7 linked regions of the Ovis aries genome follow. The protein of the gene in region 3 interacts with the protein of the main gene of each other region in a biochemical or structural test. Links are inferred from orthologs where the notes say so. Each region holds a gene or a part of one and is shown on either strand. Other genes may lie near its edges. The genes, in order: PPP1R10, MPHOSPH10, PPP1CA, PPP1R15A, MAPT, AKT1 and RRP1B.

What was found.
Region 1: the proteins of PPP1CA (region 3) and PPP1R10 form a complex in vitro, tested with the Homo sapiens proteins (2 studies listed by BioGRID). The link is inferred for Ovis aries from reciprocal best matches to the Homo sapiens genes PPP1CA and PPP1R10.
Region 2: the proteins of PPP1CA (region 3) and MPHOSPH10 form a complex in vitro, tested with the Homo sapiens proteins (2 studies listed by BioGRID and IntAct). The link is inferred for Ovis aries from reciprocal best matches to the Homo sapiens genes PPP1CA and MPHOSPH10.
Region 4: the proteins of PPP1CA (region 3) and PPP1R15A are reported together in a solved structure, tested with the Homo sapiens proteins (2 studies listed by BioGRID and IntAct, with this or other methods). The link is inferred for Ovis aries from reciprocal best matches to the Homo sapiens genes PPP1CA and PPP1R15A.
Region 5: of the proteins of PPP1CA (region 3) and MAPT, one has a biochemical effect on the other in vitro, tested with the Homo sapiens proteins (2 studies listed by BioGRID). The link is inferred for Ovis aries from reciprocal best matches to the Homo sapiens genes PPP1CA and MAPT.
Region 6: of the proteins of PPP1CA (region 3) and AKT1, one has a biochemical effect on the other in vitro, tested with the Homo sapiens proteins (3 studies listed by BioGRID and IntAct, with this or other methods). The link is inferred for Ovis aries from reciprocal best matches to the Homo sapiens genes PPP1CA and AKT1.
Region 7: the proteins of PPP1CA (region 3) and RRP1B form a complex in vitro, tested with the Homo sapiens proteins (4 studies listed by BioGRID and IntAct, with this or other methods). The link is inferred for Ovis aries from reciprocal best matches to the Homo sapiens genes PPP1CA and RRP1B.

The regions. Positions count from the first base shown.
Region 1 is NC_056073.1:27,488,075-27,492,202, forward strand, and holds the start of PPP1R10 (serine/threonine-protein phosphatase 1 regulatory subunit 10), read left to right. Parts: upstream 1-1,328; 5' UTR 1,329-1,379; intron 1,380-1,604; 5' UTR 1,605-2,136; intron 2,137-4,128. Other genes in the region: MRPS18B (small ribosomal subunit protein mS40), read right to left, coding at 648-725.
Region 2 is NC_056071.1:25,149,708-25,153,645, forward strand, and holds the start of MPHOSPH10 (U3 small nucleolar ribonucleoprotein protein MPP10), read left to right. Parts: upstream 1-1,138; 5' UTR 1,139-1,140; coding exon 1,141-1,259; intron 1,260-3,550; coding exon 3,551-3,938. Other genes in the region: MCEE (methylmalonyl-CoA epimerase, mitochondrial), read right to left, coding at 442-493. UniProt on the Homo sapiens protein: Component of the 60-80S U3 small nucleolar ribonucleoprotein (U3 snoRNP). Required for the early cleavages during pre-18S ribosomal RNA processing. Part of the small subunit (SSU) processome, first precursor of the small eukaryotic ribosomal subunit.
Region 3 is NC_056074.1:41,699,855-41,704,041, reverse strand, and holds the start of PPP1CA (serine/threonine-protein phosphatase PP1-alpha catalytic subunit), read left to right. Parts: upstream 1-1,387; 5' UTR 1,388-1,437; coding exon 1,438-1,492; intron 1,493-2,022; coding exon 2,023-2,154; intron 2,155-2,299; coding exon 2,300-2,530; intron 2,531-3,162; coding exon 3,163-3,267; intron 3,268-3,854; coding exon 3,855-4,078; intron 4,079-4,159; coding exon 4,160-4,187. Other genes in the region: TBC1D10C (carabin), read right to left, coding at 1-216. UniProt on the Homo sapiens protein: Protein phosphatase that associates with over 200 regulatory proteins to form highly specific holoenzymes which dephosphorylate hundreds of biological targets.
Region 4 is NC_056067.1:55,213,795-55,218,094, forward strand, and holds the start of PPP1R15A (protein phosphatase 1 regulatory subunit 15A), read left to right. Parts: upstream 1-1,500; 5' UTR 1,501-1,721; exon of another isoform or gene 1,722-2,232; intron 2,233-2,400; 5' UTR 2,401-2,409; coding exon 2,410-4,206; intron 4,207-4,300. Other genes in the region: PLEKHA4 (pleckstrin homology domain-containing family A member 4), read right to left, coding at 1-89. UniProt on the Homo sapiens protein: Recruits the serine/threonine-protein phosphatase PPP1CA to prevents excessive phosphorylation of the translation initiation factor eIF-2A/EIF2S1, thereby reversing the shut-off of protein synthesis initiated by stress-inducible kinases and facilitating recovery of cells from stress.
Region 5 is NC_056064.1:45,622,035-45,626,245, reverse strand, and holds the start of MAPT (microtubule-associated protein tau), read right to left. Parts: upstream 2,801-4,211; 5' UTR 2,667-2,800; intron 1-2,666. UniProt on the Homo sapiens protein: Promotes microtubule assembly and stability, and might be involved in the establishment and maintenance of neuronal polarity.
Region 6 is NC_056071.1:66,967,750-66,971,249, forward strand, and holds part of AKT1 (RAC-alpha serine/threonine-protein kinase), read right to left. Parts: intron 1,124-3,500; coding exon 995-1,123; intron 1-994. UniProt on the Homo sapiens protein: AKT1 is one of 3 closely related serine/threonine-protein kinases (AKT1, AKT2 and AKT3) called the AKT kinase, and which regulate many processes including metabolism, proliferation, cell survival, growth and angiogenesis.
Region 7 is NC_056054.1:264,405,266-264,409,494, forward strand, and holds the start of RRP1B (ribosomal RNA processing protein 1 homolog B), read left to right. Parts: upstream 1-1,429; 5' UTR 1,430-1,506; coding exon 1,507-1,636; intron 1,637-4,229. Other genes in the region: HSF2BP (heat shock factor 2-binding protein), read right to left, coding at 232-267. UniProt on the Homo sapiens protein: Positively regulates DNA damage-induced apoptosis by acting as a transcriptional coactivator of proapoptotic target genes of the transcriptional activator E2F1.

The sequences.
Region 1 (4,128 bases), on a different chromosome or scaffold from region 3:
AAGTCTATAATTAACTCTGTGGTAGCCCCTCTCATCACTCTTCAGTCTCACTTTAGGGAGTGGCAGATGGGCAAGCCCTCCAATATCACGCTGCCCCATCAAGAATCTCCAGGGTGGTGAGTACGTGTGACTGAGGGGAAACCTCCATCCAAAGTAGTTATGCTCCCATGTATGCTTTAGGAAGAAACTGATTTAGTGAGATAAAGAGCCGAGAAACTGGTCCCCTGGTCGTGAGAATGTATTCTGGCTTTATTGAGCGATAGCCGGGCTGGTAGTAGTTAGTGTCCCTCAAAACCCAATGACACCCTTGGGCATCAAAGATTTAGACACCACCATACAGTTAACAGTTGGTTTGTGTTTGGCCAAGGGGTCCACATTCCATCGCCTAAATATCCGGCCGAGATGGAAAGCTGGGAAGAGAATGACATCCAACCCTGGCTCTTTACCCTTGTCTCAAGATTAGAAAACGCGCTGTGCTGAGGAATGAGAGGGGAAGGGGGAGGATGGGGGAAGCAGAGCGTTTCCTTGACAGCCAATGTACAAGCACTTGGGAAGCTCTCCGCTCCAGGATCCCTGGCAGTGGAGCGACGACCTAGAGAAAGTACAACCAAATCTGAGGTTGTACAAAATGTGCCCCAAGGAGTTACCTGAACTCCGTAGGCACCTCTGAAGGGCGAAATGTTAGGAAGGCGCCTCAGCAACACGTTCAATATGGAGGCAGCCATCTTGACGTACCCGCAAAGCAGGCACGTCCGCAAACGAGACTGCGCATGTTCCAGGAACCAGAGTAGGGTGGGGCCAAGGACGACCCCGCAGTGCGGAAGGCGGACGCGCGTCTGCGTCAGGACGGAAGCGTGAGGGGCGGGCGTAGGGAGAGGGCAATTTCAACTGCGTCACAATCGAATTCGGCCTTAAAATTGCGTTTTTGCTGAACCAGTCACTATGACTTTTCACTCTCATTCTTAGAGTCTGTGTTTTAAGCAATTTTGAAGTCGCTTTTGACCCTGATCCTTTCATTGCGCATGCGCCGGGCCGATTCTACCAACCCTTGTTGAGAAATGTTCTCGAGGGCGGAAGTGGTGGAAGCAGAGGAAAGGGAGGTACTAGGCTGCTTGGTCACGCGCACGCGTTAGGGCCCCCACCCCCAACCAAGGAAGGAGGCGGAAGAAGGTGCCCGGGGGAAGGGGCTGAGCGAAGGTTAAGGCCGGATATCCAATCAGCTGGTGAGTGGTTTCCCTGGTTGACCAATGAATTCACGCCTCGCGCAAATTGTCTCGCGAAGGGGGCGTTTCACTAGCACGTTTGGGCGCGTTGGGCGGTGTCCTCGTATAAAAGACTCCGCCCGAGCGGGCAGCCGCCATTCTGGGGTTCGTTTAGAGGTAAGTGTTGCCATTTTGTCGGTTGGTGGGTAAAATTTTGCTCGGAGAGTTGGCCTGGGGAACGGGTCAAACGCGGGCTCAGTTGAGAGCCATGATTCGTATTAAGCGGCTGTATTCGGGGTGGGACATGGAAGTGTTTGGGGACAACAAAAATGGTACTTTTGGGTGTTTTAATAGCAGCCCGTACTGATTACATCTTTCTCCCTTGTGTTCCTTTTATCCCAGGTTTGAATTTTCTCGGAGAAAGACAGGCCGGCCACCAGGAGAAAAGAAACAAGCCGCAGCACAGCAACATCTAAGCCCTTGAAAGGATCCAGAGAGAGGGGGGAAAGGGAAAAGAGCAGCCACCAGCCCAACCACTTGTGTCTTCTGCCCCTTCCCACCTATCTTGCCCACCCCACCAGCCCACGCTGCCTGGGACTTGAAATCTGTGGCCGAAGGACCGTCACCACATAACTTCAAAAATAATCAACCACCCACCCTTCCCAAACTCACCCAAGTCCACTCATCCAGCGTTTACTTTTTTTTAATCCACTCAGAACTTTTTTTCTACGACCCCCCTCCCTAAATGGAGTTGGGTGGGGGGGAAATGAATACTGAGTTGGCCTTTATTTTTTCTAAAGAGATTTTTTGATCCAATGAGGCCCCCCAAATAATTGAGTTTTGGGTCCTGGTTGGTTGTTTTATTTTTTTCTCCAAAATTTTAATCCCCTCCCCCCCTGAGCCCGAGGTGCTGACGTCGCAAAAAAATTGGATAGTAAGTGTCGAATTTTCAAAAACCAGCCTTGCAACAAGAAATCAACGTTTCCCGTTGTGAAACCAAAAATAATGAGAGGAAGAAATGAGACCATAGAACAAATAGAGAACTGGAGAAGGACCGATCCGGTCACTTAATCTCCATTAAAAAGGGCCGTTGGGTCTAAAACAGTGTTCTCTCTCCCTTAACCACCTACCTCTTCCCTGCTCTGCCGCAGGCAAGGAGAGGGTGGAGGGAGGGCCTGCGAGTTAGGATTTTGATGGTTAACCCTTGGTAATCCAGCCAATTTCCAGACTGCCAAAGCTATAAGTGTTTGCTTTTTATAAGGAGGAATGGTTACCTTCCTCTCGTTAGCAGTCTTCAAAAGGGTTAATGAGCTCACATACAAAAGATGGTGGATCTTGTGGCCCAGAAGTCCCACTTCTTTGTGTGTGAGACAAGCAGGGCGCTTTTCAATTTGCCAGATTAATAAGCAATCTGTACATAAAGATTGCAGGGTAAGGAGATGGGCGGAGAGAAGTAATAGTTGGGTATCTTTTAAAATGATTGTTAACTCCTCTCAATTTTAATGTAATATGCTTGGGGTATATTTGTGTGGTTAATTTAGGTGGCAATCTAGGAATAAAGATTGCAAGACACTTAATTCAGGGCAAAATATAATCTTAGTGCCAATACATACTAGATTGATAGCTGGGGAGGTAAAGAATGTTTTGTAATTGTTGCAGATTGCATAGGTTATTTAAAAGAAAAAGTAACATTTTAACTTGATACTTTCTGGTCGGGGGAATACAGTTAGAGGGTGGAAAGGTTGGGGGAATGTGGAATTCAGGAGTATTAATTTTACAAGCCATTTAGTGCAATTGAATGCTATCTAAAAGATTTGTGTCGTTAAAAGGAATTTTTTTTTTCTTCCCTGCTTCAATATGGCGACTTTCTTTGTCCTTTGTCTTCCAAGCGGCGTCGCAGGTTGTGTCTTGACCCATTTTTCTCCTGTCCTCCCACCTCAACCCTATTTGTTGAGAGGGGTCCAAGTCCTCCCCCCCCCCCGTTTCCCTTTATAGGGAAGATGCTGGGGGGGGGGGGCGGTGGGTGGTCGTTAGTAGCAAGTTGAACCTCAATTGCAAATTCAGTTCCTCCCCGCAGAAAATTGTTCTTTTAAATACTTTAATTGCCTGTATTCTCACAAAGCTCTTATTGATTCAAAATAGGTCAGACTATTCAGGATGGACTGCTTTTTTCTTTTTTGTTTTTTACTAAAAAAGTGGTTTTTTTAAATGTAAAGAGCTACCGGCGGAGCCTGGATAGCTTTAAGTTTGAGTCTTCTCCATTACAAAATGGCGTCCCAGCTTCTTTGTTTTTCCTTCCCCGTTTGCCATCTAGAGCTTAGGGCCGCCCTAGAAACTTGGTCAAGGGGGAGGAGCCGCCCTGAAAGGTGATGTAATCAGCTTTCTTCCTCCTTTCTCCACCCTCTCGAAACCCCGCCCCCGAGCAGATGCCTTCTGGATTCCTCATGCACGCTGCTGCTAGACGGGAAAAGCCATTTTCCTTATGTTCCTTAACCTTCTGTAACCATTATCTTAAAAGGAAAAAAAGCTTGTCGCAATTAGATCTTGAAGCTGTCTCCTTGGGCAGCTCTAGTTTTTGTATATAAGGATCCCGAGCCTGTTGCTTTTATTTTCACCCTCTCTCATCACTACTGCTTGGAAGTTTTTCCCTGCTTTAGTTGCCTGGGGTGGAAAACCAAACAGCTGTATTTTAGGACTGGAAGCTTTAGCGGGGGTGTGAGTGTGTGTTGGGGGATCCTGGGGGAAGACACAAAGATGGTGAAACTAACAGGAGTAAACAGCTGGGGCCTGATGACCCTGAAATGTGCCGTTTGTGCTCAGGACTGAGTCCGTCCTTGGGCCTCCTGCGTGTGGTCGATTTGTATAATGGAAATCGGGGGGAGAGTGGGTCCTTCAGGACTGATTTCTAAATGGCCCTTATTCCCGC
Region 2 (3,938 bases), on a different chromosome or scaffold from region 3:
ACAAGACCATGAATATCTTAGAGTACGTGGGAAGAAGACACACAGCTTCCATATTCTTTACACAACTGACCTTCCAGAGTGGGCCGGAGTTCAGCCTGCGTTTTCAGTGCTTCTTCTGGTTCCTCCCCCGTCTCTCACTGTCCCTCTGCCATTTACCATATTTGGGTCTGGCTCGGCCTGGCTGCCCCTTAGCCGGACGACCCCGCCTCCAGGGCCACACAGAGAATTGCTGACCATCAGATGCAAACACAGAAGGAAATCCCCAGGCTAACCCGAGGAGTCCCTGGGAAGCTCTAAGGGCTCTGACAGCAGCCAAGGAACGCGCCTCGGGAGCAGACCGTAGCAGACTCAAGTGTGCTGACCACACGCGGCCTCTTCACGCCCCGGCCTCCCTTCCCGCGGGTCCCACCCCTCGGACAGCCCCGATCCCGGAGTATTCACCTGCGGCGCTCGCGGCCGCCACCTTCAGCACTCGTGCCATTTTGGGAAGCATCAGCTGTTTCCAGACTTGCAGTTCCGTGGGAGGGGCGACTGTGCCGCACGGGGCGGGACAATCGTGTTAGGGGCGGTGCGAGAGGCCGAAAGGGCGGAGCAAACGGGGCTAGGGGCGGGGTGAGAGCCCGGAGGGGCGGGACAACCTGGCTAGGGGCGGGGCGGGAGACTGAAAGGGAGGAGCAGACGAGACTAGGGGCGGGGCAAGAGCCCGGAGGGGCGGGACAGACGAGGCTAAGAGCCGAACAAAAACTCCGAGGGGCGGGGCAGAAGAGGCTGGGGTCTGGCGAGTGTGCAGCGTTTGTGTGTGTGAGGGGGAGCAGGCCCTCTGTTTTACAGCACAACGTACTGAAGTCACCTAGAGTGCATCTAAAGCAGAAACTTTAGGAGGACTCGACACCTCCTGTGGGCCCCTCGGGAATACAAAGCAAAAAGTTTGGAGACGTTTCATCGAGCTGACCAAAGGCTACTTTCGGTTTCCAGCCCCACCCCCATGCGCAAAACGGGTTAAAGTTCTCGGGCCGTCATTGGCTGAGGCTGGAGGTGGATCCGGAACCTGTGCGCCGCGGAACCTTCGTTTCCTGGCTTCAGTCGCGCGGGGGCGAATCTTTGAGGCCTGGTTTCCGGGCGGTGGCTCACTTCCTTTGCATGCGGCACTGTCCCGAGCGGCAGTCAGCCATGGCCCGGCCAGCCTGGCGTCGGCGGACTCTGGAGCGGTGCCTGAAGGAGGTCGGTAAAGCCACCGACAGCCCAGAGTGCTTCCTCACGTAAGTGCCCAGATCTCGGGCTCTGGTGTGGCGCAGGACTCGCGTGAGCGCGGGCTGCGGGCTCCCGGCAAGTTCCAGATTAGGAGAAGGGAAGAGCTCTTTTCCTTACTTTTCCGGTAGTTTGCGCTGTCCTGGCCTGTCACACTTCTTTAGATAGTTAAGAGCTGTGTTCTGTGGGTCTCCCAGTTCTGTGCTGCTGAACTCAAACTAACCTGGGTTATTACAGTCTCGAGGTCTTCATGCCCTCGTCCTTCGCACAGACGCACCTGGTGGCGTGCTCTTTTTCACATCTGTTCCCACAGCACCCAGTGCTTACTTACTCATCATCAGACTTTATTGAAAGTACTAAGTTGCTTATCTATCCACCCCACGACTGAGCCTCTTGAAAATTAGAATTGTCTTTAATCTCTTCCCAGCACAAGCTCTTGGTGTTTTTGTTCGAAGACGTATAGAGATCTTGTATTTCACGCCCGACCTTTCCCTTGAACTCCAGGCTCACAGTCAACTAAAGCCGTACACTCAGCATCTTAGATTCAGTCTGTCCAAAATAAACTGTTGCTGTGTTTGCTTCCTATCCTCTGCCCTCCCTGAGATCCTTTCCCCATCCTTTCCACCTGCCTTCCATATCACATTGTATCTTTACAGTTTTTCAGATGCAAACCAAGCCACTTCCTCAGTGTCTTCCTTTTTCTCGATTCTACGTCCAGTTCGTTAGCAAATCTTGTCAGTTACATCTCCAAACCATATTCTGAATTTGATTATTTGTCACCATTTCTGCAGCTCTGATCCCAGCACAGTTGTGCATCCTTTGTCTGCTTCAGTCTCCTGATCACCTTCATTTCATTCCTTCTTCTTGGCAGGCCATCTCTCCAAGCATAAGTCAGGTCATTTTGCTTCTCTGCTTTAAAGCCTTAATTTTTTTTTAAGATTTTAAAATATTTGTACTGTTTCATTTATTTACTTTTAATATTTAGTGATTTATTTGGCTGCACCAGGTCTTAGTTGCAGCACTCGGAATCTTTAGTTGCTACATGTGAATTCCTAGTTGCTGCATGTGGGATCAATTCCCTGACCAGGGATCAAACCCAGGCCCTGTACATTGGAAGTGTGGAGTCTTAGCAAGTGGACCACCAGGGAAGTACCCAAAACCTTCGCTTATGAAAATGACAGCCTCTTATCTCTGAGGCCTGCATGATCTGGCTCCCACCCAGCTCTCTAACCTTCTCTTCTGCCTCCTTCACCACACTCAAGCCAAGCTGGCCTTTCTGCTCCTCAGAATCACCAGCCTCATTTCTGTCTTAGGAAGTTTGTTCTTGCTGTTTCTTCTGCCTGAAATATGTGTCTCCAGATTTTTTGTCAGACTGTGATCTTATAGATAGGTATCAGCTCAGGTATCACAGCTATTCTATGACCACTTTTGCCACAGCAGGTGGACTGACTAAATGGAGAGGCCTGTGATATAGCAGAGTTGAGAATTTAAGGCTAAGATACACTCCATCCATGCTCAGTCATGCCTGACTCTTTTGTAACGCTATGGACTGTAACCCGCCAGGCTTCTCTGTCCATGGGACTCCAGGCAAGAACACTGGAGTGGGTTGCCATTTCCTCATCCAGAAGATTCACTCTTTATCTTAAGGCAAAGAGGTTTGTAATGGGTTCCCTGCCTGAAATCTAGCAGATTCAGAGATACTGGGTTGTCACCTTTTATATACTAATGTAACTCTTGGGCAAGACAGTACACTCTTGGGGGCCAGAATCTATACTTAAAATGGAGATTTCATTGTGCTATGTGCCGCAGCCTGGAAGGACCTAGAGAATATTATGCCTGTTGCAGTCAGTCATAGAAAGACAATTGCTGTATGTTATCATTTACGTGTGGAATTTTAAAAGAAATATAGATGAATGTATATAGTAGAACAGAAACAGACTCACAAATATACATAACCAAAAAAGTGTTGCTGGGGGTGGGGGGCCAGGGCAGAGGATGAAATAGGACTGTGGGATTAAGAGATACCAACTACCATGTGTAAACTAGATGAGCAACAAGGATATATTGTACGGCAGTGGAACATTCTTGGCCATTAGCTTCTAATAACTTAATGGCGTATAATCAAAAATACTGAATCACTGAAATTAATATATTTAAAGCAGTACTTCAACTTTTAAAAATTTTGATTTTGCGCAAGAGTTGGGCCTTTTTTTTCCTTTCATTTCTGAGTGCTGTGAACTTGTTAACTATAACTATAAATCTCATAAATCTCATTTAACTCCTTCTCCCTGCCTCTTAACAGCATTCAAGGTGAACTGGCATCAAAGTTTACTTCTTTAACAAAAGTACTTTATGATTTTAATAAAGTACTAGAGAATGACAGGAAACATGGGAGTCCTTTAGAAAAATTGATGATAAATAATTTCGATGATGAGCAGATTTGGCAACAATTGGAACTACAAAATGAACCAATTTTACAGCACTTCCAGAGTACAGTTAGTGAAACCATTGAAGATGAAGACATCAGTCTTCTCCCAGAGAGTGAAGAGCAGGAGTGTGAAGAAGATGTGATGGAGCTGGAGGCTGCTGGCCAGGAGGACCTGGAACAAGATTTAGAGGAGGAGGTGGAGGAAGCAGAGGAAGAGGAAGTGTCAGACCTGAGTGCTGATGATCCTGAAGCAGATGAGAGA
Region 3 (4,187 bases):
GGAGCTGGAGTCATCCTGCAGCTCACTGGGCTGCGCCAGGTCCTCGCCCAGGGCCTGGGCCATGGCGCCACCGACCCCCCGTGCGGCAGGCTGCAAGATGTGGGCACAGCCAGTGTGAGCAGGGGCTCCCGGCCAGCCGGGGCCGGGGCGCCTCTGCAGCCAGGCCTCAGCCCCAGGACCTGCCCGCCTGGTCAAAGAGGACAGGTTGCAGGGCATCGCACCATACCCCTCTGGTACCCTCTCCTCTTGTGGGGTGGGGGTGGGGCACAGGCCCAGAGGGGCAGAAAGGCCAGGCCCCCTACCGGAGACCCAGGCCCAGCCCCTGTCCCAAGGGGCCCAGCTTACCTCCCTGCTGCACCTCACCTCCTCCTCTCACTTCCTCCTCAGCCACAGCTTCAGCAACCCGCTGAGGGCCCCTCCCAAGTGCGTGGTGGGGGGGGTTACCCCTTCCTCTCCAGGGCTCTTCCGGCCTGCCCCAGTAGCCCTGGGCCATGGGCTCCTCCCACCACCCCGGTGGGCTAGGTGGGTGCAGGCCTGGGTTCTTGTGCTGGGTGTGATGCAGCCAGGGCCTGCCAGAGGTAGAGAGGCCACGCTGCCTCCAGATGTGAGGTCACAGGCAAATAAAACACTCAATTCAGGGTTCCAGTGAGTATTACACTTTATTTAACGTGACTTCTTTTGTTAACGCTTTCGACAAGTCAAACAGTAAGTCATTACTGCGCTACTCAAAACACAACGACGAGACATTAAAAAATAGTAGTAATGGTGTAGCATGCGCCACGGGCAGGGGGACCAAAATGAGCTCGGCGTTCAGCGACAGGTGTCTGGGTATGGTCAGCCGCCCGCAGGCCACAGGGACCCTAGAGGTGAGAGCTCCTCCGTCAGTCTGAAGCCAACCCTTGCTATCTTTGAACCTGTTTCCTTTCCTGCACTTCGTGGATTTAATCTGCACTCTCTGGGGAGACCCAATGAGATATCAATGAGGTCACACCACCTTCTAGCCCGGGACAGAAATGGGAAGGACTATTGGGCCCTTGAAAGAGAAAAACAACTCCACACTACTTCCGGCCGCACATCCTCGGTGCAAGGGTGGGTAACTCCTCAAGGGCGGAACTAGAGTCGACCTCGCCCCGTGAAGCCCCGCCCCCAGTGTAGGCTCCGCCCCCGCAACCAGGTCAGCCCGAGCCCCGCCTCCCGAGCCGCCGCGGGCCCCGGGCCTGGCGTCCAGTGGAGGCGCTAGAGCGCAGGGGCGGCGGGCGACCGGGCGGGCCGGGGCGGGGCCGGGTGCGGCGGGGCGGGGCTGCCGGCAGAGGAGGCGGGGCGGCGGGCCGGGGCGGGCCCGGGCGGGCGGAAGGAGCACCAGGCCGGAAGGAGGCCGCGGGAGGGCGGGAGGCAGGATAGGGCCCGGAGGTGCTGGGCCAGAGCGGCGGCGCCGCCATGTCCGACAGCGAGAAGCTCAACCTGGACTCTATAATCGGACGCCTGCTGGAAGGTTGGCCGGGGAGGCGAGGGAGGTGGGCGCCCGCCGCGCCCTGGTCCCCTGCCCGGCCCGGAAGTGGCGCGCGGGTGGACCTGCCCCTCCCAGGGCCAGCTTTGACTGGGCGGGGACGGGCCGCGAGGTCCCGTGGCCACATCGTGCCCCCACCCCACCCCAGTCGTGGCGCGCTGGGAGGTCTGGGGTTGCTCCCCTTGCCAGAGCAGAACCGGGGTTGGCGGTGGCGGGGGTGGGCGCGCAAGGATTGGCCTGGGCTCTTGGCTGAGGGAGAAACCTGAGAAGCCTAGTCCCCCAGGAAGGGGTCCTGTGCTGAGGTTTTGGATGGCCTCTGCGCACAGCAGTCCCCTCGCGAGCGCCTTGAGGGCAGTTGGGGGTCCCAGGAGGCTCAGCAGCAACAGCTGCCCCTGGGCAAGGCGGGGCCGGGAGGCCCAGGAGCCCCTACCCAGAAGTGCCTTTGGGGCCACCAGTGACATTCACCCTCTTCTTGCCTGAGGAACCAGGGTCCTGACGCCTCTTTCCGCCCCCAGTGCAGGGCTCCAGGCCTGGAAAGAATGTACAGCTGACGGAGAACGAGATCCGTGGTCTGTGCCTCAAATCCCGGGAGATTTTCCTGAGCCAGCCCATTCTTCTGGAGCTGGAGGCACCCCTCAAGATCTGCGGTGAGCCCCCAGCCCAGGTCCCCGTGGCCTCCTGAAAGCGGCCTTGCCCCCCACCCCTCCCAAGTTTCTCCTCCCTTGGGCCCAACCCTGACCCTGGGTTCACGTTTAGGCTGCCCTAGTGCTGACCTGGTTCCCTGGGTCACAGGTGACATTCACGGCCAGTACTATGACCTTCTGCGGCTGTTTGAGTACGGCGGCTTCCCTCCAGAAAGTAACTACCTGTTCCTGGGGGACTACGTGGACAGGGGCAAGCAGTCTTTGGAGACCATCTGCCTGCTGCTGGCCTATAAGATCAAGTACCCGGAGAACTTCTTCCTGCTCCGTGGGAACCACGAGTGTGCCAGTATCAACCGCATCTACGGCTTCTATGATGAGTGTGAGTGGGCAGAGCATCTGGGCTGCCCTGGTCCTAAAGGGCTCTCCTTGCCATTCAGTGCGACCCTCGTGTTGACCTGGTGGCTGGGGTGTCAGCGTCTGACAAACACCTGCTAAGCTGAGTGCCGTGAAGGTAGCACCAGCCCATGCCACCCTCCCCGACCCTCCTAGAGCAGATCCTGGCACTCAGGAGGGACCTAGCCAGTGGCTGCTGGCTGAAGGGCTGCCAGGATTCTAAGGCAGGGCCTCACCTGCTGACACTCCCCTCCAGCGCATCCGATACTTAAGCACTTAGGATGCCTGTTGGGACTGGACTCTGTTAGACAGAAGCCAAGATGAACCAGACCCTGTCTCGACCTGGCCCTGCTCTTGTGCTGGGGGTGGATGCCAACCTTGAGGTCGTGCCAGAAGTGGAACTCTGGGGTTCCCGTGGACTTGGCTGCTTTAGAATTCTGTCTGGGAGGCAGTGGGGTAGTAGGGGTAGGGGGCGGGGGTTCGGTTTCCTTTTTTGCCTTCCATTCTCTCCTCCTAGCTGTGTCTGAACAACACACAATGTGTCCTGGAAGGCCTGGAGACCTGGGCTGAGGGTGGAGCAGAGGCCCTCTGGTGAGCTGTCTCCTTCCCCCTGGGCAGGCAAGAGACGCTACAACATCAAACTGTGGAAGACCTTCACTGATTGCTTCAACTGCCTGCCCATCGCTGCCATCGTGGACGAGAAGATCTTCTGTTGCCATGGAGGTGAGCACAGCTCTGGGCATGTGAATTCTTGAGCAGGATGAGCCTCCCAGGGTGAGCACCCCTGGGGACCTTGGGACAGAAGCGTCGGCTGGAAGATGTGTTCCCAGTCGCCAGGAACAGCTCTCCCTGGAGTCCTGGTATGGGTAGTACTTCTTCCATGACGTGCCCCCGCACTGCAGCATTAGGCTGCACCCACTGTTGTGTCATGGCCTCGCCTTCTTGCATGGAGTTTGCTTGTCCCCTTTCTCCAGGGCTTCCCTAGTGGCTCAGATGGTAAAGAATCTGCCTGCAATGCGGGAGACCCAGGTTTGATCCCTGGGTTGGGACGATCCCCTGAAGAAAGGAATGGCTACTCGCTCCAGCTTTCTTGCCTGGACAGTCCATGGGGTTGCAAAGAGTCGGACACGACTGAGCGAAAACACTTTCTCCAGGGAGCTCTGTGCTCCTTGAAGGGACAGGGACTTGGAAGAGGCAGAAGGTGATGAGTTCTGCCTTTGTAGGCTCCCAGGAATCCTGGAGAGGTGGGGGGCAGAGGCTGATTGGCAAAGGCTGCCTGGAGGAGGTGACCTGCCCCCTGTGCCCTCCAGGCCTGTCCCCAGACCTACAGTCCATGGAGCAGATCCGGCGCATCATGCGGCCCACAGATGTGCCTGACCAGGGCCTGCTCTGTGACCTGCTGTGGTCTGACCCTGACAAGGACGTGCAGGGCTGGGGCGAGAATGACCGCGGCGTCTCCTTTACCTTTGGAGCTGAGGTGGTGGCCAAGTTCCTGCACAAGCATGACCTGGACCTCATCTGCCGGGCACACCAGGTGGGCTGGCAGCCCCCATCTGGGTTAGAGCAGGGCTGGCAGCCAGCTCCTGCTGAACTAACCGCCTCCACCCTCGTCCAGGTAGTAGAAGACGGCTACGAGTTCTTTG
Region 4 (4,300 bases), on a different chromosome or scaffold from region 3:
GCCGAGGGGAGGGGTTGGGGGCGACGTCCAGCCCCCTCCCCGACCGCTGGATCCCTGCTGGACTGGAGCCTGGGCCACCGGGGTCCCATAAAAGCTGAAGCTAGGATTCCTAAATATTTGGCGAGTTGGAATTGGGCCTGGACTCCAGGGCCTCAGTGGATTGGTCGCTGTCAGGGGCCGGGGGGTCACTAGCGCATCCTGAGTGGAGATCACTAGGATCTTGGAAGGGGCGGGGGCTCAGACTCCTGGACACCTGGAAAGGTGTGAGCTGGGATTCAGGACTGCTGGGCTGTGAATAGAGCTGGGATCTGGAAGAGTGGCTTTAAGTGGACGGGTCCAAGTGTGCCAGTGACGAGGAGTGGCCCAGATTCCTGAACGAGCAGGGTCAAGTGGCCAGGGTCAATGTCCACCTCGGATTCACGCGAGAATTCCGTTCTAGAATGAGGATGACCCCTTCAGGAGGGAGACTTGAGTCCCCGGCATATTTTGAAGAACAGGATTACTGGGTAGGGCGGGAGGGATGGGGGTGAGTAGCGGGGAGCCGGTGCGGGGGAGGACTGGGACTGTGTTCCTGGGCCTGGAATTTGTGGCAGAAGACCCCCCCCCCCCCACTCCCATGAGGTTCCGTTGGTGCTACACAGCCAGAATTTCAGTTTGTGTAAGCAGAGGTTTTTTGTTTTGTTTTGATAAATTTGAAGCGGGTGAAACCTACGAGTGGAGACTTGTGCCCTAGACAGGGAAGGCGTGTGAATTTTTGGTTAAGTATCCCCTCACCACGATAAAGAATCTGCCTGCAATGCAGGAGACCTGAGTTCGATCCCTGGGTCAGGAAAATCCCCTGGAGAAGGGAATGGCTATCCACTCCAGTATTCTTGCCTGGAGAATTCCAGGGACAGAGGAGCCTGGCAGGCTAGTCCATGGGGTCGCAAAGAATTGGGCACAACTCAGCGACTAACACCTTCACTTTCACCACGTATTTGTTGAGTACTTACTATGTGTCGTGCAGTGAGCAAAGCAAAGTGCCTGCCTTCAGGGGGCTTACACATTCTGTCTCTTTGGCAATGAATCTAGACTCTGCTGTGACCGCCTTGGGCAAGTGATTTCATTCCCAAGCCTCAGTTTCCCCATCTATGATATGGGAACAATAATACTCTCCCACACCAGGTAGGAAGTCGAACAGATGGAAAGTAGGAGACTCTAGACTGGGGCCTGGTTTTAAGTCAGAGGCGAGGCATTTGCTTGGAACAAGGGTTAAACGAGCTGGCTTTCTGCTTGAGCAGTTCACGCGCTTGAGTGACAGCTCACTCGTTTGGGGTGTGGCCACGCTTGGAAACACCGCCGCCGCGTGATGTCACAAAGCGCGGAATCTCCGCGAGAAGTCCAACCTTGTTTTCCGTTCCCTTCCCTCACGTTTACGTTTCGAAACCCCGCCTCCCTTCTGACGTCAGCACGTCCGGCTGCCTTGAGCCATAAAAGTGCTGACGGTAGCGTCACCTTTTCGCGAAGTTTCCGGCCTGGATGTATTTGTATGTTTCCCTGGACGATCGTACGCCTCTTTGTCGCGACAGTGCTTGTAGCAGCCGGTGACAACTTGAGTCCTCGAGCCCGACGCCGGAGGGCGAGATGAACGCGCTGACCTCCCGAGCCGTCCGAACCTGCGAACGCTTGTGGCAACCTCAGCCGGCGCTCCTGCCTCCGGGTTGACGCGCAGTCCAGAGCTGGTGAGTTGAGGGGATCGGAACACCTAGGTCCCCAGGGGTTAGGGGCTGGGACCGGACTCCTGGCCAGTTAGGAGTTGGGAGCTCAGACTTCTGAATTCCGGTGGGTTCTAAGGAAGGCCTGGAAACCTGAGGGGTTCTGGAGGGGTGGGAGGAACCCCAGGGCTCCGACTTAGGAAGCAGAAAGAATTGGGAACTTGAGAGTCCTGAAGCAGACGGAGGAGGGGTCCGGGAGCCAGACTCTTGGGTCCCCAGAGAAGTAACCATCCAGGGATCGGAATTTTTGAGTTTCCAAGGCGGGGGTGGGTGATGGGAGCTAATTTGTCAGTCCTCAGGAGTTGAGAGAAGCAAGGACTAGGACTTTGTCCCCAAGAGAAGTAAGTAGAGGACCTGCGTTTTGGCTTCCTGGGACCAGGACTTTCGGGTTTGAGAGCAGATGGGGCTAGGGGCTTGTTGGACTCAGGGAAGGAGAAAATGGGGACTCCTTGGGTTTTGAGAGAAGAGGTGGGGAAACAAAGGTCAGAGATGGGAGTGGCTAGGCTCAGAAAGGAATGTGGGGCAGGAACTCTTACATTGCTGTTTGTGTTACTATTTCCGTTGCTATGACTCAAGGTCATCCTCTGATGCCATTCCCTAAATGGCTTCTAAACCTGACCCTCCTTTTTCCCTCCTCTTTCCCCAGCCCAGACAGATGGCTCCAGGGCAAATACCCCATCAACCTGCCCCCTGGAGTGGTACCCACCCCTTCTTCCTGCTGTCCCCACTGATGGGCCTTCTCAACCGGGCCTGGAGCCTCCTGAGGGGCCCAGGACCTCCAGAGCCCTGGCTAGTGGAAGCAGTAATCGAAGCAGATCAGGGAGGAGCTGGCCTGGAGGATGAAGCAAAGGCTTCTCTGGCCACCTACCATGCCCCCTGGGGCAGGCACCCTCAAGAGGAGACTGAAGACAGTGGAGCAGCTGAGGAGGACGGAGAAGCCTCCCCGGGGGCCTGCCTTGACCTGGAAGGCAAGCATTCTCTTCCCGAAGTCTGGGGACTTTCCGATGATGATGATGAAAAGTACAGTGAGGAAGAAGCAACTGGTGTCCCTAGAGAGCAGGAAGAATTTATGGATGGCCAGCCTGCTCCCCTGCCCCTCAGCCTTCTGATAAGATCTCTACCAGACCTTCCTGGGGAGAAGGAATCTAAGGAAGAAGCGGTTACTGGAGGTAACGAAGTGACCCGGTTCTCTTTTCCTCTGTCACACTGGGAGTGTTGCCCAGGGGAGGAGGAAGAGGAGGAGGAGGAGGATGGAGAAGCTCTTAGGGTGTGCGGCCCGGTGAATGGAGCCACAGAAGAAAGAACAGAGACTGAAGCAGCCACGAAGACCTCCATGTACCCCTCATCTGTAGGCTCCCACCTCAGGGCCTGGGAATGTTGTTTGGGAGAGGAGCCTGAGGAGGAGGAGAAGGACAAACAGGCTGGGAAAGGGGATGCTGACCCAGGGCCACACTCCACAAGTCTAGCCCAGAGGCCCTCCCTCAGGACCTGGCAGCATCCGTCCAGTGCGATCACAGAGGAGGAGGAGAAGGAGGACTGTGATTCAGAGGAAATGGGGGCTTCCTCTTCCGTCCCACCCACAAGTGCCTTCCTGAGCGCCTGGGTGTATCGACCAGAAGAAGACACAGAGGAGGCGGAGGACTGTGATTCAGAAGCAACTGAAGATGAGGGAGAAGCCGAGGTCTCCTCTGCCATCCCACCCACAAGTGCCTTCCTGAGCGCCTGGGTGTATCAACCAGGAGAAGACACGGAGGAGGAGGAGGACTGTAATTCAGAAGCAACTGAAGATGAGGGAGAAGCCGAGGTCTCCTCTGCCATCTCTCTGAAAAGTTCCTTCCTGAGTGCCTGGGTGTATCAACCAGGAGAAGACACGGAGGAGGAGGGTGAAGAGGAGGAGGACTGTGATTCAGAAGCAACTGAAGATGAGGGAGAAGCCGAGGTCTCCTCTGCCATCTCTCTGAAAAGTTCCTTCCTGAGTGCCTGGGTGTATCGACCAGGAGGAGACACAGAGGAAGAGGAGGAATGTGATTCAGAAGCAACTGAAGATGAGGGAGAAGCCGGGGTCTCCTCTGCCATCCCACCCACAAGTGCCTTCCTGAGCACCTGGGTGTATCGACCAGGAGAAGACACGGAGGAGGAAGATGAGTATGAGGACGAAGATGATGAATCAGGAGCAGCTGACTTGGGACCCGGCCCCTCCCTTCAGACCCAGAGTGCCCTCCTCAGGGACCAGATTTATCAGCCTGAAGAGAAAACAGATGGAGGGGAAACTCCTGAGAAGTGGGGAGAAGCTGAGCCCTGCCCCTTCCGAGTGGCCATCTATCTACCTGGAGAGAAGCCCCCACCTCCCTGGGCTCCTCCTCGGCTGCCCCTCCGACTGCAAAGACGGCTCAAGTCTGCACAGACCCCCACCAGGCATCTGGACCTTGAACCTCTCCCGAAGACCAGAAAGGTAGGTGCTGAGAACTTAGATTCTTGAGGTGAGGGAGGAGAGGGCTGGGAGCCAGCACTCCTGGACCTGGGGACCAAAGGACTGGAGGCCCCGA
Region 5 (4,211 bases), on a different chromosome or scaffold from region 3:
CATCAAATCGCCAAAACACCGCAAAACAGAGTAAAAACGCGGAAGCCTGTACTGCACTTTGTTTCTAGCACTGGGCTAAAGACACTCGCCTCTGCCGGCTCTTTTCCCCCCAACCGACAGGAGATGACTTCTCTGCCCCAGGTCCATCATGGGCAGCGGTGGCCGCGGGCTCCCCGTTCCTAGGGCCCCTCCGAGACCCTCGCTCTGTCTGGTATCAGAATCTCTCCTCCAGCTCTATTGGCGGCGATGATGCTCGAATTGATCCTTGAACCTCTCCAAACCAGATTCGATCTTGAAGCCACGGGAAGGTTCGGCCTGGCGCGGGCAGACTCTCATCCCCAACCGAGTCATTCCGCGCCTATTCAGATAAATCTGCGTGGCTCGAGAAGACAATTTGGCCCCTAAAATGCTCACCCTTCTCAGAACTGCGCCCTCGCACCAGTTTCCAGCGATAGAATTAACCAGAAAGCCGTCCAGGATCCGGCAAATGGAAGGCAGGCGAGGCTCAGATATGTTCGCCAGGGCCCGAACTCGCCTCTCTATCCCCTCCCCCCTCCCCCTATGCCCCCTCCCCCATCCTCACCTCCCGGTTTCAAGGCGGCGGCGAACTCGGACTCTTAAGCGAAAATACCGCACAGTTCTAAAATAAAATTCGACTACAATAATAAAAACACGAGAGATGTCTATCTGGGTGGCTTCAGCCACCGGAGTCCAATAAGAGCCATGGGTTCAGGGCTTGCGGGGGAGGTCTCCCTCCATCATCCCCCAGGAGCCGGGGCCGGGGGCCTGGTCCTGCCTATCCCAGGCTCTCAATCTCTGTTCGGAAGGGGCGGGGCAACGCCCCAAGGTCTATTTCCCCGGCTCTTGTGGTCTCCTTGACAACCTCCCCCCTGACCCCCCTCTAGTCCTTTTAATAAAATGGGTGTGGCCCGCAGCACCCGAGAAGACCTCTTGCCCCCTCCTCACAATCTCCCTCCTGGCGAAGCAACAGGGCGTGAAGCGAAGAGGCGCCCCGCCTTCGAGCTCCCACCGGGGGTCGCCGGTGCTCCTTGGTGTGCAGCCTGGTGGGGCGTGGCCCGCGGACGCTCCAGGTGTGGGGAGGGGCATCGTTCCTCTGCGGCCACCGGCGAGGCGCGCAGGGACCTCGGATCCCACCCCTTCGGCCCCTCGGAGGCTTTCTGGCGCGCGCCCCGGTTCTGGGAGAGGGCTGCGCGGGGTCACGCCCGGCCCATGCGTGCCCCCCGGGAGGACTAGAGTTCCTCGACCCCGGCGAGCTCCGAGATCTAACAAAGGGCTCGGAAATGAGGGGCAAAAAGCGGGGGGAGGGGCGGGAGCTGTGGTTAAACACCTTCATAGAATAAAAGCCAAAAATCAGGGCTGGCAACACAGATCACGTAAGCCCTACACACAAAGCAGTCAAGCCCCCGAGGAAGATCTCGGGTGAACGACCCCGGTACTCGGGCAACAAAATGCCAAGATTTCAGCGCTAATTGCTCCCCCTCCCCTTAATGACAGTCCCCGCCCTGTCCTCCTGAGCTCAGCCATCCGGCTTGGCATGGCACTCTAAAGACGTGACACACCGCAAAAAGATGGCACCTCGCGATCGGAGGGGAAAAAAGCAGGGGTGGAAGTGGGAGGAGGCACAGCCTACCCTCCCCCTCCTCGCCCACCCGGGTCCACACCCACTGCCGCAGTGAGGGGCGAGCCCTGCGCGCCAGCCCCGCGTCTCCGGCAGGGAGCGCACACGCCGGACTCCCGGCGCAGAGCGCAGAGAAAGGGGCCCGCCCCGAAATGCACCTGCCGCCCCTGAGCGGGTCTGTGCGGGGCTGCGGCTGTGCGCACCCTCGAGCCGGGATCTGCAGCTGCGAAGTCCTTCCATATCCCAAGTCCAGGTGACCCCTGCCTTGTTGAGCCTCCACATTGGGATCCGGGCACTACGTTCTCTCGGGCACTGCGCTGCTCGCGTCTCGGTGCCAGGCGCGCGCAGGGGGAAGGGCAACTAAAGTGACAGCGCCAAGACCCCTCCCCATCTCCCCGATTTCACTCCCAGCCCCCAAATGTCCCCTGCGGGTTTCTGAAGGAGGAAAACGAGAAGAGGGTGGGCCACCGCCTTAAACCAAGGGCCGCGAAAGCCCGGCTGAAATCAGGGCCGGGGAGGGATAGGGAGGGGCAGGCAGGGAGTCATCTTTTCTAGAAACCGATCAATACCTTGTCTGCAAACCGAGGCAGGGAAATTGGATTACAGGTTAGGTTTCGGGGGTCGTCATTGGACCCCTCTCCACCCCCCCCCCCACAGAATCACACGCCCATTGCGGCAAAAGACGGTGTTCGAGCGTGCATAGCAGCCCCCTCCCCCAGATCACCGCCATCCGCGCCCCACCCTGTGGGCACAACCTCTGCCGGGTCCGCGTGAAGCGGGTCTTGTAGACACCCCCCCACACACACGCACACAGGACATACACACACGCGCGCGTGCATCCCTTGCATAGATCCCTTTTCCAAGTCACCCCAATCCCAGCGCTGGAGCGCAGAGGGCGCAAGGAGCGGCCGCCGCCGTTGCCCCCGACCAATGCCCACCTCATGAAACCCATCTCTGAGGAGAGGGGCGGCGGTATGCAGGTGCAGCCGGGCGGACCGGGAGGCAGATTTCGGAGCCTCGCACTTACCTGATAGTCGACAGAGGGCGAGGACAGTAGAGGGAGGCAGAGGAGAAAGTGGCTGTGGTGGCGGCGGCAGAAGGTGGGCGGCGGCGGCGGCGGCGCTGCTGCTGGTGCCTGAGCTGGTGGGTGGCGGAGATTGCGAGCGCGCGCACGAGCGGAGAGGGCGCGCTCCGGCGGCCGGCGGGCGGCGCAGGCGCGAGCCGCGGGAGCGCGAGCCTTCCCAGGGGAGGGGCGGGCCGTGAGGCCTCGGTGGGCGTATTCTCCTCCGGCCACCAGTGGGCGCGCGCGAGCGCCCCAAGGTTCGGCCCTTCCCCGCCTCCCCGCTCTCTCCTCTCGGCGCTTCCCGTCCAGGGTCTCCCCTCCTCCCACGACTTGGGCCGCGGCGCTGACCGCAACGCGCACGCGCGCCCCTTGGCGCACGCGCACTCCGGGTCTCCTGTCGCGGTTGGAGCCTTTGTCTTGTTTGAGGGGTCTCCTCCCTTGGGAGGATGGCTTGGTTGCTCCCTGGGTCGAGAAGGGGCTGGGTGCTCCGCCCCCAGGTCCGCTGCCTCTTTTATCCCCCTGACGTCTTGGAGTGATGTCCTGTCTCGGGAACGTTCTGGGCAAGTTTCCATATGGCCATCCCTCCAGTCCACCCCAGACCTCAAAACCTCCCCGGACTTGCCCCTCTTATCGCTGGCACCCTGACTCTCCCCTGAATTTCCCGAAATGATTCCCCTTGTTGCAGATCAGTTTCCTTGGATCTGCTTTCTTTCGACCTGCTTTCTTTTCACCTTTTTGTTTTGTTTTTGATCAAGGTGAATTCTTGGCAAATCTACTTCAATTTGCTAAGACTTACAACTGAGTTAAGGCTAACTTAGTAGTAATAAGGTAGTGCAAGGTTTTGAAGGGTTTGGGGTTTTTTGTTTTAACAAGGATCATTCACATCTATTATCTTCACCCTAAGAATAAAATCTTAAATTAGATGAAGTTTCACTTACCGCGTTAGAAAACATTTTCACCTATAAAGTTATTTTTATCTTGTTTGTCAAACACTGTTACACTGTATAGAGTTTGAGATCTGGATTTCTAAGTTCCTGCTGGAGATTCTCACCTGGATAACACTGCTTCAGATTGAAACTGACCAGAGTGTTCTTGCCTGGAGAATCTCAGGGACGGGGAAGCCTGGTGGGCTGCCATCTATGGGGTCGCACAGAGTCGGACACGACTGAAGTGACTTAGCAGCAGAGGCTTTCATCCTCTCAGTCAGCCAATCTCTAGGCTTTGTCCTTAGCTGGTCTCCCCAACATCTAATTTAAGCCCTGACAGTCAGTGGGAGGCTTTAAATGCATAAGAGCTTGGGGACCGCTGTCGTGTACTAAAAAGACAGGAATTTGTCTTAAAGCTTTTATTTGCATAGGTCACAATTTTTCAAAACTGTTGTGTGTTATGTGCTAAGTCACTTCAGTCGTGGCCGACTTTTTGCGACCCTGTGGACTGTAGCCCACCAGGCTCCTCTGTCCATGGGATTTTCCAGGGAAGAATTGTGGAGTGGGTTGCCATACCCTCCTC
Region 6 (3,500 bases), on a different chromosome or scaffold from region 3:
CTGTTCTACCTGCTGCTCTGCTGACACCCGAGGAGCCTGGGAGGAGGGTTCAGGGCTCACAGGAGCCAGTCCCTGGTAAAGCACCCCAGGGAGCCCCCAGCCAGGGCCTGGTCGGGGTCAGGGCCTCTGCTCCCTCTGCTAGAAGCCCTGGGGTGGGGTGGGCTGGCTGGGCCTCCCTGCAGCACGGACAGCCCAGGGACCAGGCCGGCCCACCCAGGCATCTGCAGGCGCCGAGACTGGGGGATGGACCATGGTGCTACCCACCCCCACACCCTGCACCACAGCCCTGGTCTGACGCGGGGTGGGGGAGCTGGCGGCCCCGGGCTCGCAGGGCTCACGGCAGGGAGGGCAGGGGGCTTACGAGGAGCCGGGTGGGGCCGGGCCTGCATTCTGTGCCCCAGCAGCAGGTGGGCGGGCCCCGCGGCCTGCCAGTAAACAAGCCATCACTCCCCCACCCCCAGGCCTGTGTCCCGGGCCAGCCCTGGGCACGGCACCCAGGCTGGAGGCTCCGCCGGGCACCCCATCCTCACACCTCAGTGCCCCCGCCTCGGGCGGTCATACCTGCCACCCCCCTGCAGGTGCATGAGGCCACAGCAGCACCTGCTTTAGAAAAAATGCGCCCATCCGTTGAGCCTCCTGAGATGCCCCCGGCGGCACTGCCATACCCACCCAGCCTGCACCCCGCTGAGGAGGGCATACGCGCCCCCGAGGGGCCGGGGCCTCTGAGAACCTGTGCCGGGAAGACAGGCCCCTGAAGCCGGTGCACTCCAGCATGCCTTGGGCCCGAGCCTTGGGGAGAAGCCCTGGGGGCCCGTCAGTGCCTCCGAGGGTAGCACTCTGCCCCCAACAGCCTAGGGCCTCGGCTCAGAGACCCGAGCAGCCAAAACCAGCCACTAACAGTCCCCGAGGGCTGCCAGCCTGATGCAGAGGCCGGGGGGCCCACGAGGGGCTGCAGACGCGCAGGGACACCCGCCCGCGGCCACCACGCGCTTACGGGCCACAGAGAAGTTGTTGAGGGGCGACTCGCGCTGCTCCAGGTCCTGCGGCCGCTCCTTGTAGCCGATGAAGGTGCCATCATTCTTCAGGAGGAAGTAACGGGGCCGCCAGGTCTTGATGTACTCCCCTGCAGACGCGGCGAGGGGGCGTGAGGCTGGGCCGCTGGGCCACGCGCCGGGCCCACACACCCTCGTCCCCAGGTCGAGGGTCAGGCCAGGCAGACCCCGATCACCCAGGGTGAAGGGCAGGCAGGTATGAGGCTGAGCCTCTGGGCCATGCGCCGGGCCCGCACACCCTCATCCCCAGGTCGAGGGTTGGGCCAGGTCAGGCATGGACCCCGATTCCCCCGGGGTGGAGGCCGGGTGGGCAGGCGGGGCTTGCTGTGGGAAAGCACCCACCTCTGACGAAGAGCCCACCCCAGCCTGTGTTGGAAAGGGGGTCAGGTGGGCGCCTGGACCTGATGAAGGCTGGCCCAGTCCTAAGGGCCCTCCAGGAACCTGGCATCCAGCGCCGAGCAGCTAGCGCCACACTCGAGAGTGAGACGCCCAGACTCGCCTGGCAGACGCAAGCCCACCCTCAGCAGGTCCCCAGGGTGGGCACTCAGAGAAGCTCTTGCCCACGTGATGACCCTCCTGCCATCCGGGGGGGCGCCCAGCTCACAGTTGTGAAGCCAGGCCTGGAAGACCCTGTCCCACCCACGGGTCACCCAGGTCCCCAAGAAAGTTTCCCCCCAAGTTCTGCAGCATCAGCCGTACACGCGCCAGAGAACCAGAGCAGATGTCCTCCGTGACGTCCCAGCGACTGCCATTTTTCATACTGACACCAAGAAAAAACGTTTCGTTTCCATTTTGCCGAGCAAGGAGTTTGAACGGCAGCAGAGGACTTACTAATTAGGCGCCCACTTCAGCAGAGGGCCACTGGGCGGTGGAGGGGAGGGGCCGGGCTTTCCTGGACGCGGCCACCTGGAGGCCGAGCAGGGCCCAGACCCCTTCCCCTCGCCCGCTCCTCCGCCCTGGCCCACTCCCATCTGGGGCCCCTGGGGCCTCTGGGGGATGCGAGGGGCATCCAGGAACTTCCCGCCATCCCCCAGGGATTGCAGGCAGGGGTCTCCACCAGGCCCAGACACTACTGACCCACCCAGGAGGGCCCAGGAGGCGACCAGTGACCTGCCCCCACCCCAGCAGCTTTTAGCAGGGTCCCCACCCAGTCCTGAGACCCCCCAGGGGAGGTGGCTAGCACGGCACTTCCTGTCCCAGGGCTGGGGATCCCTCAACGGCCTGTGCCAGCACTGGGGGAGGAGAGTGGGGGTGGGGGGCAGAGCTGGCTGGGGGCCGCCCGCCGCCCGCCACTCGCCCCACCCGCCTGCGCGCCAGTCTGGAGCTGTCGGCCCCTGATGGAGAGCCTCCCGTCCCGCCAGCTGCCGCTCCCCGGGACGCTAAGTGCGCTGGGAGAGCGATGCGCGCCGCACCCGAGCAGCCCCCAGATCCATCTTCATTCACCAAATGCTGCCGCCCCCACCGCGCCCAGCGTGGGCCCCCAGCGCCGCGCCCCACGCGGGCTGCCAGCAGGAGCCCCCCCACGCCCCGGCCCAGGCCTCAGACCCCGCCATCCCCAGCTGCGGACCCCACCCACCGTGCCCCCAAGAGCCCACCGCGCCCCCACGAGCCCACCGCGCCCCCACGAGCCCGCCGCACCCCCACGAGCCCACCGCGCGCCCACGAGCCCAGTGCCAGGGCCACACAGGCTCTGGGGACCCGACCTGGGCAGGTGGGGGTGGGGGGAGCGCAGGCCAAGAGAAGCCGGGGCAGGCACTCAACGTGGACAGGCCCGTGAGGCCTGCTGGGTCCCCCGACAGCTCCGCACCTGGGGCACTAGAGGGGGGCCACACCCGCCTCGGGCCCCCGGCGGAGGGGCAGTAGCCGTGCTGCGGCGCGGGGATGGCGGGAGGAGGCCAGGGCTGGGGCTCGGAGACACAGACCCCGTTCTTCAGTCTCTGGGACGCTCCCGCCTGCAGACGTCCAGCCAGGCAGCCACTCGGGGCCGCCAGCTGCGACCTGGGCTGTGGCCTGCATGGGAATGAGCTCAGCACAGACAGGGCGCGGGGAGGGCCGCCGGCCCAGGGCCTGGCCACGCCGTGCTGTGCGCTTGGCCGTAACACTTGGGGGCCAACGACGGGGGGACGGCAAGACAGGCACCCACAGCCCGTGCTGGGGACAGATGGGGAAGCCCAGGGCGGGACGCCCTCCTCTCCTGCCCCCAGGGGCCCCTCCTCATCCCCGTGGACAGTCTGCCAGCGGGGCTCTTCCACCACGCCAGCTCGTCTCCAGGAAGCGGCTACAGGACTCCCGAGGAAGGAGGGGATTCCTCTCCAGCATCGCTGGCCTCCCACAGCCGGGCTGGGGACCAGCTCGGGGACAGGACGAACGCAGGCTGACGGCCAGCCCCCCAACATCCCCCAGCACAGGTCCCAGCACGGGTCCCAGCGGGCAGGAGACCCAGAGGCC
Region 7 (4,229 bases), on a different chromosome or scaffold from region 3:
CAGGAGCACGCCCACCGCCCCCTGCGCGGCCCCCTGGACCCGCACACCCGAGAATTTGGGAGAATTTTCCAAGGCAGGGGTTGCAGCCTCCCTTCCCCTACCCAAGGCATGCTGTCTGCGGACGACGCCCAGGGCCCTCCCGAACACACTGGACGGCACCCAGGAGCGGTGTGGGGGAGTGGAGGGCGACAGCTAGAGCTCACAGGCCGAGACCTGGATGCCCACACTAACCCGACAGGCCTCCTCAGCGCCGCCAGCCTCGTTCATGACTGCCGCGGCCTTCGCTCCTGCGCCTGTGCGGCGGCGCGCCCTCTGACCCTCACGCCAGAAAGCGCGGGAACGCGTCCACACCGAGAGTCAGGTACGGAGAGCCGCGAGGCTCAGGCCACGCAGTTTTCGAAGCATTCTCGGCTGAAAGACCCAGAATGGGTCGGCGGGATCCCGCGTTGGCTCTTCTGGCTTAACCAGACTCGTAAACTTTGTTAACTGCAAAGTACAAGGACAGTGAGACCCTCGCTTAAGTGTCCGGTGAAATAAATCGAATAAGGCCCTTCCTGCTCGGCAAGGGATGTCAGACCAAGGGGTGACAGGTTCAAAGGAACCAGCAGCCGGCCGCCTGGCTCCCGCACTCAGCTCCCAGCTCCATGAGCAAAGGCCAAAGCTTTCTGACAACAGACTGCTCGGGAGGTCTGCCCTCGATAGGGAGACTTAGTCCAGTCCGCTGGTACGTAACTGAAACGGCTACCGTAAGCTAGGACACATCGCCCCGTCCATTCAGCTGCCCCTACACATCCACTGAGTTCGCACAGTGCCCATGCGTTCAAAGGTACCAGTTACTATACCACTAGGACTTTGCCTGTCTGAAGCCGGCCGCGAGCTGACAAGGCCAAGTGCCCAGCGTGCGTGCCCTCCAGGCCCGCGGGAGGACCTCAAGCTCACGCTCTCAATCCTCGCGGCCGGGACCCGGGCACTGGGGGTCGCCGGTCGCTGAGACCAGAGCGGCCCTCGAGGGGGCTGCCCACAACATCCCACCAAAATTCCCAAGGGCAGCCTCTCTCCCCAGCCTCCACCCAGCCCTGGCGGCCGAGGAGTCCAAAGCGATTCAAGACTCGGTGCCGCGTCTCCCGGGGAACAGCTCCAATCGGACCAGGATTTAGTGGAGTGGGCGCAAAGATTCTAGACCACGTAAAACTGGCTATCGGACTCTTCCCGGCCAACACGCAACGCCGGCTAACCTCGCCGTCAACGGCCACGAGCTTTGGCTACCGAGAGACGGCAGAGGCGGAGAGGCGCGCCGCTAACCAGGGACGAGCCGCTCAGCCGGCTGCCTTGGCAGCCGCGCTAGCTCCCAGAACGCGCTGCGAGAGGCGGCCGGCGCCTTTGTGACGCCATCAGCCTGAGCGCCGCTGCACGCGCCACAGCCTTCTGCGCAGTCGCGACCCGGGCGGCGAGGCGGCGGGCGCTCTGTGGCGGCGGGCTGTGGCGGGGGATGCTCCAACGGACACGATGGCCCCCGCCATGCAGCCGGCCGAGATACAGTTCGCTCAGCGGCTGGCGTCCCACGAGAAGGGCATCCGGGACCGGGCGGTGAAGAAGCTGCGCCAGTACATCAGCGTGAAGACGCAGAAGGAGACAGGTGGGCGCCGGCGGTCCGCCGCGCACATGGCGGCCGGGCGTGGGAGCCCGGGGTGGGCCGGGCTGGGGGTTGTGGGAAGGGGGCCCGGTCGGGAGGTGCGTCACAGGGGACGGGCCGGGGGAGCCGCGGGCGGAGCGGGGAGAGCGTGTGGCACTGAGTCGCACTCCCGCGTGTGCTTTTGTGTCCGCTTTCTGCTGGGTCTCGTCCTGTTCTAAGGTTGAGGGGCTGTGGCCGACAATGTCGGGTGGTCTGCTGAAAGTCACAGTGGGTGGTGAAGCTTAGGGTAGACCCGTTCTGTCCAACCCCGAGCCTGGACGCCGGATCATTGGGCTCACCTGATAGATTCTGGTGCGCTGTTCTTTGAGTCACGCCTTCACTTGACCAACACGTTTAGGAGTTGGGATTGCAAAAGAGAAGACAGAATCCCTACCCTGGAGAGAGTTGCCCCGGGAAGTCTAGGGAGGAATTTATACCTGAAACAGAGCTCCTTTAAGCAAAGTAACGGAAACGAAAACCAAAGAAAGAAAACCATCCTCTACGTCGGCCGTTGACGTTCAGCAGGTCGGAGAGGAGGCGGGCTAGCAGTGCGAGAAGGTTAGTGAGGGAGGGTGAGGGAAGGTGAAGTTGAACAAGTAGGCAGCGGCCAAGTCACATCGGGCTTTGTGATTTGGGTTTAAACAGCAGTGGGTACCGTTGAAGGATTTCATTAACTGATCTGTAAACTCCTGAAAGAATGAGCTACAGTGTGCAGTGGAGGTTTGTATGGCACTAAGATAAGTCTGGGCTTCCCTGATGGCTCAGACGTTAAGTGCGGGACCTGGGTTGGGTCCCTGGGTCAGGAAGACCCTCCTGGAGAAAGGCATTGCAACCCACTCAAGTATTCATGCCTGGAGAATCCCATGGACAGAGGAGCCTGGTGGGCTACAGCCCATGGAATCCCAAAGTCTCAGACACGACTGAGCAGCTGAGCATACAAGATAAGTCTGATTTTTTTATTGTTAGTTCTGGTACATAGAGCCTCTTTCAAAGAATTGATGTTATCTCTCCTTGTGCTGACCTCCTTAGTTAATGTTTTATTTTAAGGAAAAACCACAAGAGACTACCCAGGGGAAACAAAGTATCGTTTCATGGGAAGTCTGCTAGAAAGACTTTGACTCTGTTCAGGGTCTCCCCAGCAGATTTAATTTACTCATCCCATATATGCTGGAGATTTCTAACCCTGGTCTTCTAACCCAGATCTTTGCTGCTTTCAGCTCAGATACGCCCTACTCACCTGGCAGTGTCTACCTTGTGTCCTCAGACCAGAATGTCCAAAAGTGATTCATTTTTCTTCCCGCCCCCCGCCCCCCAACCACCAAACCTCTTGTGCTGCCCCTGCTCTTTCATTTTGGATGCTAGTTCCCCTCCCCACCCAGACTCTAGCTAGGCTCCTCTCCCCCACCCTGCATCCAGTGTCCTCTGGTCTCAGCTGTCTCATTTCCTGAACTACTCTCCCCTGCCTGGAGCACCCCCCTGCCCCCCGCCCACCCCCTGTCTCATCTAGACTTCTGTAGTTGCTTGCTTCCTCGATCATCTAAACTCCAGTTGCCCCCAGTGAACCCCCTGCTCTGGAACCAGCCTGGCTCATCATCTTAAAACAGCTGGACAGGTCAGAGTCCCAGGTCTGTGGACCACGGTCTGTTCTGCCTTTCTCTCCACACCTCATCCCCTCTTCCCCATGTGACTGCTCCACACTGGTTCCTGGTGTTCAGTACACCGATTCTCACCTCTGCCTTCACGTCTCCCATTCTCTGAAAAGATCCCCGCACTTCTCCAACTCCCAGTACTCAGTTCAGCATCACTCGCTCCAAAATGCCTTCTGTCTCACCTCACCCTGCCCCGCAAGGATCCCGGGATACCCTATGTGTGTCTGTTGTGGCACTTAGCTGCCCTGCTTCTTAATTATCAGTCGGTGTGTCACTGTCTCCCCAGAACACTGTAAACTTCCATCTGTTTTCCTAGCTGGAAGTGGGCGCGCATCCAGACACACGAGGGCCAGCCTGTGTACAGAACAGAAGAAGGACCAGATGCAGCGCCTACGGGTTGAGGCGACCAGACAGAGCCTGGTGTTCAAAACCCCTTTGGTGAACAGGCTCAGGGTCTGAAACGTCGGGGTGGCCCCAGGGCAGGATGCCCAGGGGCATGCAGTGCCCCGGGTGTGGTCTAAGTTACTTGTCCTATGCTCCTCACAATGCAGGGAGTGTAGCAGGCCTTCAGAAAAATGACAGTAAAGTGCACATCTAGACAGGGGTGACGGGACAGAATGGACATAGTCTCTGCCACAGCTGTGCCTGTCGGAATAGAAACACACTTTCGGAAATAACTTGGGCTGATGGTAGAACCTCACTGATGCGGTCAATTGTGTCTTGTCTCAGGCATAGAAAAGAGAGTCTGAGATGTCACTCTGCTGTCCATTAGCAACTTAGTTTGAAAACAAATTGAAAATCTTTGTAGAGCTTAAAGCAACTAAGTGTTGCTGTACCCGCTTTAAGTGTTGATCATTCACAGCCGTGGAATAGCCGCAGTTTTGCTCACAAGAGCTCACTTGTCCCTG